Lytechinus pictus: one gene and its partner. The protein of the gene in region 2 binds, or shares a complex with, the protein of the main gene of each other region. Links are inferred from orthologs where the notes say so. Each region holds a gene or a part of one and is shown on either strand. Other genes may lie near its edges.

The links.
Region 1: DNA polymerase delta catalytic subunit-like (region 2) and DNA polymerase delta subunit 4-like share a complex: the UniProt entries of both Homo sapiens proteins name them as parts of the tetrameric DNA polymerase delta complex. The link is inferred for Lytechinus pictus from reciprocal best matches to the Homo sapiens genes POLD1 and POLD4.

The regions. Positions count from the first base shown.
Region 1 is NC_087246.1:32,444,304-32,451,571, reverse strand, and holds the start of DNA polymerase delta subunit 4-like, read left to right. Parts: upstream 1-4,179; 5' UTR 4,180-4,761; coding exon 4,762-4,918; intron 4,919-5,560; coding exon 5,561-5,647; intron 5,648-7,268. UniProt on the Homo sapiens protein: As a component of the tetrameric DNA polymerase delta complex (Pol-delta4), plays a role in high fidelity genome replication and repair.
Region 2 is NC_087253.1:6,221,711-6,229,570, reverse strand, and holds the start of DNA polymerase delta catalytic subunit-like, read left to right. Parts: upstream 1-4,751; 5' UTR 4,752-4,824; coding exon 4,825-4,843; intron 4,844-5,013; exon of another isoform or gene 5,014-5,136; intron 5,137-7,534; coding exon 7,535-7,750; intron 7,751-7,860. UniProt on the Homo sapiens protein: As the catalytic component of the trimeric (Pol-delta3 complex) and tetrameric DNA polymerase delta complexes (Pol-delta4 complex), plays a crucial role in high fidelity genome replication, including in lagging strand synthesis, and repair.

The sequences.
Region 1 (7,268 bases), on a different chromosome or scaffold from region 2:
TTAGATATTTAGAATCAGGCCAATAATACACTTTCTTAATCGGGGCTAATTAGATATTCATTCAGAGATATGATACAAAACTTAAAAGACAATGACATGCGAAATATTATTTTTTTTACAATGTCAGTTTTTCTTATCTTTAATGATATATTACCTCTTTTGTTCTGAGTATCAAATTTGCCATCACTTATATTTTTCAAATATAACAAAAAAAGGCTGTTAATTGTGAGACAAATGTTCAAATAATGGAAAAGTTGTTAGGCGGTAACTTATTTAATTAATTTGAATAATCTAATAATATTCCAATAATATTCCAAAGCCTAATAAATAGTTTTGGACAAAAATACTGTAATTCAAGCAAATATATTTCAAATACTAGTGCAACACATCTTTCTAATCACCTTTTTAAAGATATTTGGATTTCAAAATTTAAGTTATTAAAAATATTTCCCCCTTTCCTGTGAAATGTGATATTGTATGAAGTTAAATGCAACTCGATTCTATCGCAGTGCTACTTATATCGTTAAGAATTATTTTGTCAGTATTACATGATTGTGTATTCTGATTTTTGTTGAATGTTGGTTTATCAACTTTCAATAATAGATCATTATCTGCATATAATATCCCTGCGAATCTATATGTTTTAATATTTATTACTCTCAGTGTATCCATGTACATGTAGGTCAGTTCATTCTGTAAGTCTATGGCAGAATTATTAGAGTTTGTTCAAACTTAGACCGACAGAGCTTAGCAACATTTATGTACAATTTCAATGAGGCATTTCAAAATCGTCCAAATTCTGGATATATATTTTGTTGTGTGGCTGGCTATCAAAAGCTGTGGGCCAGTCAAAATGATGATGATAATAATAATACTAATAATAATAAACATAGCCTAAAAGGATTCTTGTAAAAAGTTGTACATCCAAATTCTTGACATCATCAGAGTAATATGGCATGATATGGTATCAGAATTTTTCATTTTTCAGGACTTTGTTTGTGCAACTTTGGGAAATAATCTGGTGAGAGATGACTTGTGTCGTGGGAGTTCATGAACACAAGTGTAATATTTGTTTCACCACTGAACATTGTCTGAACACTGTAAACAATATTGCCGAGCTGTGTCGTGTCATGTCTGAGCCAAAGTTGAATAATAATTCATGTCTGTCATCTACTTAATTACTCCCTCCATGTTCGATATCTTTCGTATTTCATACACCTGAAGGTCTCACATCCTATATGCCACTGTATCCAACAATTAATGTTTGTATGAATTAATATACTTAGAACAAATCACAATTGCACTGTTTGGAATTTGTTTCTATGTGTGTAGTAGCATGACACTTTGAGGAGTGTTGCAAGAATGCATTTATGGTGTTAAACCATAGCAAATGAAATGATACTTTCTGTTGCAAGATTCAAACCTACAAACAGTTGCAAGACTTAAGATTAAAGTAAGGACTTAAGTTTGACTTGCAATTGAATGCATTTTTGTGCACCATCCCCTTCATGAGTCTTTATCACCTGTGTAGATTATGATCATCTTTTTTTTTTACTGGAGGATTATCGGTACTTGTATATATTAGTAAAACTATAAACTTTCATCATCATATATAATGGCATATGCAGTATATTATATGTATATTTGTAAATTATTCGATTACCATGTGCAATGTAGCATGTAATGCCCAATACGTGGAAAGTAACCCTATATAATATATCCAGACTAGCATTCTTCATTATTTTCTATCTTTCTTTTGTTATATGTGAAGGGAAATTGATTAATTTAATAATTTATACCGTTCGGTTTGATAGAGTGAATCAGTTACCATCAGTTATTAGTTAGGTGCTTGATATTACAAATGGGAGAGAGAGAGAGAGAATGGTGTAACTGAATTTTATGTCTACTGCTTGAGAATTCCTGATATACAGTATTTAGGGAAAACTGGGGGGGGGGGGGGAGGGGGTGCTTTTCACAAAGATTGATTTTAGTATGACTTAAAGGGGTGTTGCAAGAAACTTGCGATCAATGGCAAGTCATTTTTTGGTCCCTAAATCAATCATATGTCTTGCAGTTAATTGCAAATTAGTGATTGATTGCTAATTTGCTCCTTGAAATAAGAAGTTTACTCTGGTTTGCTACAGCTAACGTTGATCTATCAGTTGTAAAATTGCAACAGAACATTTGCAATTGATCGCAAATATTTTCTTGCAACACCCCCTTAGAGTCGTACTTAAATGCCTAGTTGCTTGCGGTATAAAAGACATGCAGATCAGATCATGCCAAGATGATGCAGACTACTGCGTATTGATTAAAAAGATTGCGTGTGGCATATCATGTACGTGTTGATATTTAAGTGTGACTCTAAGTCATATGTAAATCTTTGTTAAACATCCCCCCCCCAGGTTCTGTTATTCAAGTGAATTATATAGATAATGAAAACAGAGATTTGATTTGAACTGTCTTCAATTTTAATAATAGTTTGTGGACAATCAAGGCATGTTCTGGGCATGCAATGATGGAAGTACCTTGTCCAGCTCATAACATGGAATGATTATTATGCAGAGTCCACCATTTATTATGAGAGCATTCTTTACTAACCAGTGAGTCATTGCTTCGCATGAACAACAGCCTGTTATTAAAATAAAAGTTAAATTTTGTTCAACAGTAACATTGTGAGATTCTACCTACAGACTCTATCCTGACATAATTCTGTTGATACTAATTCATAAAATATAATATTCCTATTTTAAATGATAATTTATTATGTCTTTTCATGGTTTAAATATCTTTTTAATTCTATCAATTAAAGTACATGTAGTTAGTAATTAGTTACAAAGTATGTTCTCTAATAGATAATAGAATGAAGATTTAAAAAACCTGCCAGGCTTTGTTGTGCTGAGTTTTACACTAGAATGGGGAAAAAACAACAATTGGTTCCATCAAACAATGTTTTACAGATAACTTGAAACATGGGATTTCTGTTCTGTACTCTGTTCTAATATTTCCCTTCATGACGAGTGTCTATTATATCAGTTACAAAGATTTTAAATTGTCATTTATGTTTGTTTACATTGAGAATGTATGTTTCAAGTACATTATTTTAATTTGAGGATCAGCTAGATTGTGAAATCATATTCCACTATGGGATAGTTCTCTACCTAGCATCTGTTTTGTGTGTCTAAAGTATTTTTGATCCAGTTTATCCATTACCCTACCTACTTGTGCTGTAAAAATGCAATTTCAAGTTTTCTTGAAGATTCAGCGATTAAATTCCTGAAAAAAATGATTTTTTTTTTTTAAATGGACATTATGTGTTTATTTCATTGTGTTCACTTGAGTGGCCCTTGCCCCCCGCCCCTTCTCCCTCATTCGTATGAGAGAGAAGGCTCATTCTTGGACATGCAAACTCACTATTATTTTAAGTTATTATGATTCATTCAAGTCTTATCAAATCCACTGTTCTTCCCCCCCCCCCCCACCATAAGTGGTCTTGAATACGAGAGAGAGAGAAGTGATTGAGAAAAGTGGAGGCCCGTGTTATATTTACAGGTAAATTTGCATTTGTCGACATTTCATGAATCAACACTTTTAGACCAGATGATATTCTTTAAGTCGCCAGATTTCTGAGGTCATGAAGGATGTATTTTTAAAGGGGGAGTTCACCCTGACAAAAAAGTTTATTGTAGAACTATCGGAAAAATAATTGTAAAAATATTGGTGAACGATTGAGGAAAATTCCTCAAAGAATAAAAAAGTTATTAGTCTTAATTATTTGATCTGTGACGTTATATGCAACTGGCAGCTTCAGTTTCCGTCACATTGTATGGTAAAAAATCAATGAAATGTTTTTTTCAGAAAATTGAAAGTGGTTTTTAATATAGCTTCAGTATATCAATACACAAATTATTTCACAACTACTCCTACAAAGAAAATAAAAAATAAGTCATCAAGAACCATTAACAAATTAAATTTATGCATTTTATATTACATACCATAACGGGGCATTCAGCTGCTTGTTTATGACGTCACAAATCAAAAACTTGAAATTCTAATAACTTTCTTATTTTTGAATGGATTTTCTATAAAACCTTCAATATTTTTCAATTTTTTTTCTGCTTTTTTTACAACAAAGTTTTTTTTTTTCAGGGTGATTGAGCGAAGAAGGGATTGGTGTGCAGTGTACAAGGGAACAATTTTAAAAAGAAAGATTGTAAGCAGGCGAGGCTGTAGGATAGTGCGAGTCACTGTTCTTAATGCCAGTTTTTAGTTACAGTATTTCCGCTATTTATTGGCGAAATACAGTAACAGATAAGTGAAATATATTAACAAGCTATTTTCATTGACTGACCGTGCTTTGGCATGATAGCAGACGACGCTAACAAGGGTAGATAAAGAATAGACAGTCTTTTCATATATCCAAGTAATCGCAGTCAAAACTTCATTTCTTTCTTTTTTTTTACTCTTTAAGATCACGTTGTTAATTGTTATCATTGTCACTGTTGTACAATTATAAAATTCGATCAACAGAGCTATGATAATACACACTTAAAACGGGATATCTGAGCGAATTCATTGGGAGTTCCATCGACAGTCTATTATCTTAACTCATAACTTTTAAATACCCACGCCACATGTTATGACATGTTGTTGTTGTAATCAGCTGATACCTGCCAGTCCATTTCTGAAGTTTGTAGCACATGATTCATGAAAACATCAACGATTTCGATCTGAAGGTAGAAAGTTAACCTCTAGCAAAAAATGTCGAGCAAGGCAGTATCACAACAGCTAATCACTGATCAATTCAGTCAGCAAAAATCAGGACGCATTCTTGAGAAGTCAAAGGGGAAAAGCAAGCAAAATGTAGCTGTTCGAAGCCCCGCAGCAAGCCCGAGGAAATCAGAGAGAACCATCGAAGGTGAGTACCAAGCGGTAGCCGAAATGTACCGCGTAGCCGACATGTACCGCGTAGTCGATTACGATCGAGAGCTGTAGTGTCGAAGGCCAAAAGACCGGTGTTTATGCCAAAAACATTTAAATATGTAAACATTCTGTTGTCGGGCTTTTACTATTATCATATTGCATTGTCGATTGTAGATTATCATAATTTGTCGCAAGAAAAATCAAAAATTGTTTTAACTCAACTCTTGCCACAATGGGAGTACCGTACTAATATTTCAAGTTACTTTTAGATTTAATTTGTTTTCTGCAATTCTTTCTGTAAGTTTTACTTAGTGTGAAGTTACTTCAATTGTTAATTCTAACTGTTATTGTTAATGGTATTTCCATGGATTTCATAATGCCTTGTTGGGTATGCTGAAAAAAGAAAAGAAGATCGCATTTCTGGCTTAGAAATCTACCTTTAATTTTATTTATAAAAAAATTATAATCCAATGTCATGATTCGATTACAGAATACAGATCTATGGGATATAATGTCTTGTGTGTGTGTGATTCCTCATTCTAACAGTATGTATACAATCGATTATAACGTAGGATTCTAAAGTTACTCTGAATTTCTCTCAATTACATACAATCTATTTAATATTTTGTTCATTTAGTTGAGAGTGCTGAAGATCTTATCAGAAAGACAAATCTAAACACACTCCGGGAATTTGATCTGGATTGGAGATATGGACCTTGTACGGGTAGGTTTGCCATATGCTTTCACATTAATTTTTAATATGTAATGAATCTAGTGATAGCCAAAAAGAAGGCATGAAAATTCATTCAAATAAATATCATCTATATCCAGTGATGGAGCCCAGGGTATGTGGCTTTGACTTACAAAGAGATACAATTGATATTAATCTCAACTACATCAGTATCATAATTTTCATGCAGCAGTGCACGCACCATCACAAAACAGATTCAAAACAGAATTACAGTCATTTGGGGGTTACTAAGGGTGAATACCCCCCCCCCCCCAACCCTTGCCGCACTACAATCCACTTTGATACGCTACCAAGATGGAATGCGTGGCTCTTCAGTAAATTCAATAAGTTAATGGCATAGCTCATTGAAAACAAAGGAGTGCACCTATTAGTCCATACAATGGTGCATGGGTGATATTTGAAATACATTTTGATCAAACATGCATTCTATATAATTGGGCCACCAGTTTTCTGTCGATCATGCATTTGATCAGATCAACAGTACAGTACGTGTGTCCTTCTGAGACAAACTCAATGGTTTCTGAGCTATGAGGCTGCGCTTATCACTGAACATTTCATAAAAGTTGTTATATAACAAATTTGCAATTAAAAGCTCCTAGAATCTTTCAATCTAATTGGCTGATCATGAATTAGTTATCAAAATTGTGCATTCTTTATTGTAACAAGTCTTCATGAAATGGGACCCAGATGCCGAGGACAATTTAGGCCTCCCAAATGTTGTTTATTATTATTATTATGTTATTTGGCAAAATATCAAACAAGTCAAATACAATGATAAAAAATAATTGTTACAATAACACAATGATAATACAGTTAACACAAAAAATGATTAAACACTGGATTCATACGGATGAGCTGCCAGGCATTGGGCAAAGTTAACCAAATAACTATAGTCCACAGACCGCCCTAACCCATACCCCATCCAGGTGAATCCACTGTAGTATTTTCATGTGAAATAAACATAACATGCATTTGCATTTAAATTTACATATATATGAAAACAAAGTATTAAATTACTCAGAATCTCAAAGCATAAAATCATGCAAACAAATATCAATAAATACACTGTATATTAGCCTACAAGGTAAAAAATTAAATCAAAGGGAATATGCTGCGAACAATTATCTAAATCACTTTTGGTTGGCTTTGACGTGTGGGTCGGTAGGAGATTGTATAAATTGCAATGAATAATTAAAATTGAAAGTACTGTGATATCTTGGCAAGCAACCCAGCATATATTCAATTTATATTGCATTTAATGTAACATGCTAAATACAACCCCCTGAGATTTAAACTGCAATGAACATGCAATGAACGATACTGCTATTGGAATATTGAAATATTGAAATATTGAAATATTGAAACACGATTGGATATAAATAATGGCCAGTAGTTGATAGAAGATATATTATATATAAAAAGAAACGGTTAAATACATCATAATAAAATATAGATAATTCTTAAATACATAAATATGGTCATATCAAATTTTTGACACTTACTTAGAATTGACAAGATAGGAATTTAGGTGATTGCACCATGTTTAAAGAGACCCAGTAAGGATAGAGTTCCTCAGGTCACAAGGTAAAGAGTT
Region 2 (7,860 bases):
AAATTGATGTTGCCTTGCGCTATTTTGTGAGTATGTAGTCTAATTTCATCTTTATATTATTGACGATGTATTTATTATTATTAAGAGGGTCTGAGAGTACTATTTATTCCTTCAACTGTCAGTGTCGTGATCTTTTTGAATAAATGAACGGATACGCGGATACAATTTTACAAGTTGCCTGTCTTAATAAGAAAGTTAGAGTCGGTCCCACACGCTGTAAATTGTGTATCGGACCCAGTCCAGACTCAATCTGATATTCTCAACAAGCATCACGATCACTCCTAGTACCAATGAGGTCCAACATTACATGTATGGACCTCATAGGCGACATCAGTAGTATTTTTGGTTAGGAATCTCTGAGAACAGGATATTTATATATTATAGGCCTATCACAAGTACAAGCTATATTCCTTTCTCTTATTTAAATTATAATTTTATAGTGTAAATGCATCGTTAGCAACAACAAAAAAATGAAAGAAATGAAGGGGAACTTACATTTTCACGGCTTTTTCCTGATTTTCTGGGCAGCTGCTCTTCTCTTCTGACTCGTGATCGAAGCTGATATGAAGATCACGTGATTCGCGTTCTCGTCAGCTGATCGGTTGGTTATTCTTTTCGTCAGACGTTAATAATATATATTTTATAATGCTAGCATTCATCGCTAATTTAGGTGAAAGAGATTGAAGTTAAACAGCGCCAGGTCGGAATCATAATTATTTTGGAAGAGTGTATTTATACACTCGATCTCATACTAGGGAGACCGCGCGGACGTCAATTGCATTCCGCCTTTTGTTACACGCCGCACGGACCTTCAACGAGCAGCTCACAAAAATACGACATGTCTCTCATTATTTTGCCATCACAAAACAAAATAGTCAATATATATCAAAATAAGCCAACAACATCATCATCAAGTATATTCTCAAGCTAATCAATGTCGAAATAAAAGAGATCATGGTGTTTTATCATGCTTTTGAAGCAACGGAAATGACCCCTCACTCACCGGTTTGAACAACGGTTCGTCAGCGCGAGCGCTAACACACGCAAATTCGCATAGGTCGCATTTCCCCTCGAAATGGTCAGAGATTTTGGAGCAAAATTCCACTTTGAAGCATTTTCGACACTTGATCCTCACATCGTATGATCATGATCTATATACCAAAAGAAAGGAAATAATTTGCTCTGTATACTCATATCGGTTTACAATTCACTCGCTTTCGCCAAAAAAAGATATAATGAGAAGTAACATTCCTTCTGCGATAGCGAGAGTACGATTAAAGTCTCTGTACGTAAACCGAGTCCAGTTTGCATTTTCGACGATGCTGAATCCGATTATGACATCATTTTTTCGCATATCCCTGAGGATCATGTGTCGGATTGCAATTCAAAATACCCTTACCATGCGAGTTTTTGAACAGCGAAAAAAGGGCGTGGTAAACCCGATGACGCCAGATTAAATACGCGCTTTCTTAATGACGTCAAGCGGTCCCGCGCCTATGGTCACGTGCCCAACCGGCGCGAGAATTCAAAGTTCATCGCGGGTGTCGCTGTGCGCAATGCTATGGAGTTTCAATGCAATTTTGTCTACATGTACTTTGTGAATGATCGTGAGTGTATCGCTTACACACATGCACGTGGATGATTTGCATTTGCACATGTAAACTTAGTGACTCATCACTGGTGTAATCATTCAACCGTGCATGTATTTTGATCTGTCCATTTATCATCCCATGTTTTACATCAATCTTTGAATTATCTTTGGTCGATATATCAAAGTCTCGCGGCAGCAATCATATTCAACCAAAACAACAATGTAAGTGGAAGAAGACAGTCCAAATAATATTTCATCAAGATGCATCAAGGCCGGTGTGCTACCGAGACCTCGACATTTTTAAATATTTTTTTTAATGAATTTTCGAGCCGGCCAGACTTTGATATATTGACCAAAGATGATGCAACCAGAGAGAGAGAGAGAGAGGGGGGGTTGAGAAGAGAAGAGAGGGAGCAGAAAAAGAGATAAGTTAGATGTAAGGGGAGAGGTCGGAGTAGCAGTGTGATGAGAATTTATGTAAATTGGGTAGAGACCTCGGGGTAGAGACAAGTTCACGTTGTGTAATTGAACAAAAGAGATCAAGCAAAAAAAAAATTGAACGTTGACCATGCTAAATTATATAGTCCTGGATGATGTCAAAAGTCAGAAGGCAGGTGCAATCTACCCCCCCCCCCTCCACCAACCTGTACCTTCATCGGCACAAGAATTTAATTGATAGAATAATAATTTTGCTGTCCGTCTTCGTATATATCCCTCGAACTTCGAAGGATGATAAAAAAAGCCGTCTCTAAGTCCAAATATTTTGCCCATTTCCCGGACTCATTTCTTCATACTTACAGTAGAAAGGCTCTTATAATCCTATATAAAATGATTCCACTTATTCCATATGGAGAGTGTCCTTTTTTCAACCATGGTGTTGGAGGTACTTGTATACCTCTCCATGATTCAACTCTGATCGTGATTCAGCTGTGCATGGACCTTTCGTTGGAATATCCGTTACCATGGTGACCGGCGGCCAAGATAACATGCAGGTGGTCATTGTTTACAAATATCTGGAGACTGAGAATGGAGGTTAAATGCCGCGTCATTCCCAGGGGTCCATGTTCTGAACATGGAAACGATTGTGGTTGAGCCCCGTTCCCACGGTAGTTGCAATGACGGAGTAACTATAATCATATACATGTAGTAAGTTCTTTGGATCCCAGTTTTCAAAGCCTTCACAAATCATAGGAAATTTATCAATTACAACTCGCTATCTACGACAAATATAATAATGACTGTGTTGGAATCAGTTACAACCAAAATGCTAAATAAAAAAGAGGGGTTAGTTATATTTGAAGGGGTGAATCCAGGAATTACCAGAACGGGGGGGGGGGGGGGGGGGTACGCTGTTTGGACGAAAAGAAGTTGGCTGCCACTGTGAAGTTGACAACTCGATAATTTTCTGACAATCAAGCAAAAAGAAATCAAAATGGAGTGGATGGAAACTTGTCGCCCCCCCCCCCCCCACCAGCACTGATTAAAAGCATTTAAAAACAATTTTCAAGAAGAATCAACGAGATCACGAATAAGAAAGAGAATCACACATTAAAAAAAATCAATTACATGCAGAATTGAATTCATAGAACAATAATTTTGCTGGCCGTCTTCGTATATATCCCTCGAACTTCAAAGGATGATTAAAAAAAAAAGCCGTCTCCAAGTCCAAATATTTTGCCCATTTCCCGGACTCATTTCAGTCATTATTTTTCTTCATCTTAATGCTTACAGTAGAAATGCTCTTATATATAATCCTATATGAACTGATTCCACTTATTCCAGATCGAGAGTGTCTTTTTTTTCAACTATGGAGTTCCCTCTCCATGTTTCAACTCTGATCGTGATTCAACTGTGCATGGACCTCTCGGTCCATGAACTGAACATACGTTGGAATGTCCGTTACCATGGTGACCAGCGGCCAAGATAAGATCATTGTTTACAAATATCTGGAGACTGAGAATGGAGGTCAAATGCCGGGTCATTCCCAGGGGTCCATGTTCTGAACATGGAAACGATTGTGGTCGAGCCCCGTTCCCACGGTAGTTGCCATGACAGAGTAACTATAATCATATTAGTTCTTTGGATCCCAGTTATCAAAGCCTTCACAAATCATAGGAAATTTATCAATTACAACTCACTATCTACGACAAATATAATAATGACTGTGTTGGAATCGGTAACAACCAAAGTGCAAAATCAAGAAGGGGGTTAATTATTTGAAGGGGTGAATCCAATTATCAGAACGGGGGGGGGGGGGGTGGGGTTAACGCTCTTTGACAAAAAGAAGTTGGCCGCCACTGTCAAGTTGACAACTGGATACATTTCTGACAATCAAGCAAAAAGAAATCAAAATGGAGTGGGTGGGAACTTGCCCCCCCCCCCCCTCCCACCAGCGCCTGATTAAAAGCATTTAAAACAATTTTCAAGAAGAATCAATAAAATTGATAAAAAAGAGAATCACACAATTAAAAAATCAATCCCATGCTGAAAACTACATGCTGATTCTTCTCATTCTTTGCCTCGCCCCCCCCCCCCCCCCCGCCCCATCTCGTCTCGAATTTTGGGGAATACCTTTTTCATGAGGTGATGATTAAACTTTCTCTGTCTTAGCAGATACACAACTCGATAATGTACTGCCACATCACATGCAAATCACAGACAAATGCCAGACTCTCTCAGACCATGTCAGACATAAATATAAACAAAGGAAATTTCCACGCCGTGTCGTGAGCCACGTGGGAAGGTACATTGAATGGACACACTTTTGATGCACACAAATAATCCCAGACACATTTCATCATAACCTCTCAAGCATTGGTTCTGGACGTTACGATCGCGTCTCTTTCCCCCTCTCTCTCCCTCTCTCTTTCTATGCATTGCATTCGCTCGTGACATGGCTTGACCTAAACCTGACCTAAACGCACCCGTACGGGTGCGTAACTCGAACTTTTGAAGACAGTCGGGGTCAAAGTAATACATATTCATGACCGTGCAGCGTAAAAATCATGGCGCGCTGACATCATTAGCAACATTCGCGGAGACTCCTCCTTACGAGGGAGGCCTTCATTTCCTGAATTGGACGTGAACGCGTATCGTGGATGACCATATTTTGGGAGGTTTTTGAGCTATTATTGGCGGAAAAATGTCAATTTCTCTTCGCTTGTAACTTTGCAGTAAAATGGAATAACTTCAAGAAATTCGGCAGTTGGTATGAGTGAAATTTTCCCTATAAAATGATTACAGTCATAGCACGTAAGTCCAACCCTATCCAAAGATAAAAATTAGGTCCGGTCTCCCTACTCATACCTGACGTAGACGGCGCTATTCAACAAATGCACAATCTTCAATATAAAAAATAAAACAGAAAGAACGCCTTGAACACAGGCCAAAATGCCTAACGATTTCTCCGCGGCATTAACAACTATCGTAAAGGGCGCTCCATTTATCAATAAAGATGGATGCTAAGCTGTCTATGGCGACAAAATTTGCCGCAAATATTTACGAAGAATTGTGAGAAATGGTCTGAAAATGCAACAAAAGAACCGGTGAGTACCGATTAAACATTATCAATTTATTTAATAGAACATATTTAATTACTACAATGTAACAATTTCTAGATAATATTGCTTAGTTCTAAGCTAGGGCGGCCCAAATGCGCGTGAGTGGAGTCCCAGTTTATTAGCACGGGTAAGTACGTATAGGGGTGTCGCCTAGAGTGATCACGATATCTTCATTTTGCCAGCAGATATTATCATAAAAAATATGAGTTCAATGTAGTACTTTACTAGATCTATAGCATTTTGTCGTCAATCTGATGTGGTAAAATTAGGGATATTACTAATAATAAATCCTGTGAGGGAAAGAGGGTGGAAAGTGGGGTTAACAGAAGGAAACTGTCTTTACCTACTCACCAGACAGGAGTTGGTGCAAGGCACGGTGAAAATAAAGATAAACCAAAAAGCAGGCCCAAAGTAACTTGTAGATATGATTACTGGTGTGAAGTATTCTTGGTGTAGATGGCTAGTATTGGTGTGATGTATAATTGCCGCAGCTAGTTGAAACTCGAAGGGCGAAGCAAAGGTAGATTTGTGTAGAAACACAGACGTCCTCGTCTCGCACCGGTCGACTATCAAGTGATCATCAGATCCCTTGGCTGGCCTGACTATGCAGCTATGCTCAGACCTGAGTTGTGCACCCAAGCATGGATGAATGCACAGGGCTTGGGGGTTTGGGTCTATTGTTGTGTGCACACAGCCTCTAGCCCATAGTACATGTATATTCTATGCTCCAACCAAGGAGGTGGTTGCTCCAACCCATCCCACAGTACTACATACTATGTAGGGAGCAGTCGCGCGTGCCCCAGACTGTGGTACATTTTACCACACTGATATAGCCTAGGCCTAAATATCTTATTCTTAATTAGCTCACCTTTTAAGTTTTGAGCTTGAGTTTTTGTTATTATCATTATGTTAATTAACTCTCCACAAAAACTTTGGTCCGTGAAGTTAGGTCACACTTTTTTAGAATGGTTTTCCAGCACAGCATGCATTCGTCTATCGGAATAGAATTTTGAGATCGCGATACCGGCGAAACCCCTTGGCCTTGACCTAGAATAGATCTATCTAACAGTTACATGCAGTAGAGAGGCGCACGGCCAATATGGGAGACTCTCTCCAATAGGGGAGACAATCTCCCACATTGGAGACTTGCTTTGCAAAAGGACAAAAGAAACGACACCAACAAAAGCATGATTTTTTCACCCAAAATTTTGTCTCACTGAGGTCAGAAGCCCATTTGTTTTGTGTGTGATTGACAACAAAAATCCTTATCAAAACAAAAGTAGACGGTGAATTTTTAAAGTAGACGGTGAAAAAGGGTAATTTTTCATGAGGAATCTGCTTATCACATTTTTATTTGCCGCCAAGTTAATCTTTTTGCAGCAAATGTAAACAAAGGAAATTGGACTCCAAAACTGGAGACTGTCTCTGATATTGGATACCCAAATTCTTTACAAAAGTCTCTGATATTGGAGATAATCTCACACATTGGAGACAGTCTCCAATATTGGCCGTGCGCCTCTACTGACATGTAGATCTAGGGCCTAGGGCTAGGCCTACTTCACATTTTCGTCTTATAGTTCATGATAAACAAAATTGATATTGCCGTCATAATGTGGAAACTTTTCTTGAATTGGTTTTGTACAAATTGTGAATATTTTGTGAACAAATTTAAGCCTGATGAATATTTTTTGAAAGTCCGCGCAGTTTAGACACCCCATCATACATGCCGCCGTGCACAGGAAAATTGAAGGCCCGGCGCATGCAACACTTGCATGGGATTGCGCAAATTTAAGATGGCTTTAATAAAATCAAGTCCTTCTACGAAACTGAGCGAACTATGTGAAGTCAATTTCCCCTAATATCGTGAATATCCCTAAAATATTTTTTTCTTGATGACGAAATATGGAGCTTTCATGCCTTTTCCTATTTTTTTCGTCTAAAGAGGGCATGCGATTTATCTTCATAATCATATCAAAGACACTACAAGTAAAAGACTAGATCTAGGCACTAAACTATTTTACCCGTAAATCGATGCAAAGCGTTACGCGAAGTCGGCCAAGTGTCCAATCTTTGTATTGTAAGACTTTGATGGAATGTTTGTTGACAAACGAACATAGGTTCGTACTGCTGGATTCGTTCAAGGCACGTAGAATTTTCTATTTTTTGTTTAATTTGTCATCGCTCTGGATGTGTTACGTGGCTGTATGGCCCCCATGGAGTACTTTTCCTCTAGCTTGTCTTTGTGGCAGCATACAAAGAGCTTTATCCAGCTTTTTTTATAACAATGGATTAAAAAAAGACACCAAATGTTGCCAATTGGAAGAACAAATGTTGATTGGGTTTTTGAATAACCAGTCTTGTATTGTACATTATATATGATCAGAGGTTAACGCCACCATCATGGATTCTAAACGCAAACCAGGGGGCTCTGCTCGAGGGCCTGGACCCCAGTCAAAGAAGGCCAGGGTCCAGGACTTCGAAGACCAGGACCCATCGGTATTCGAGGAAGAGCTGGCCTTGATGGAGCAGATCGAGTCTGAGATGGATTCTCAGGGGACCAATGGATCTGTTGGAGGACCAGGACCATCAGTTAACAATGGTGAATACATTTATATTATATTGACTGGCCTTGAGGGGTACATCAAATATGTTGCCCGCAACAGAATCATATTGGCCCGAGTCTTTAGACGAGGGCAATATGGTCCTTTT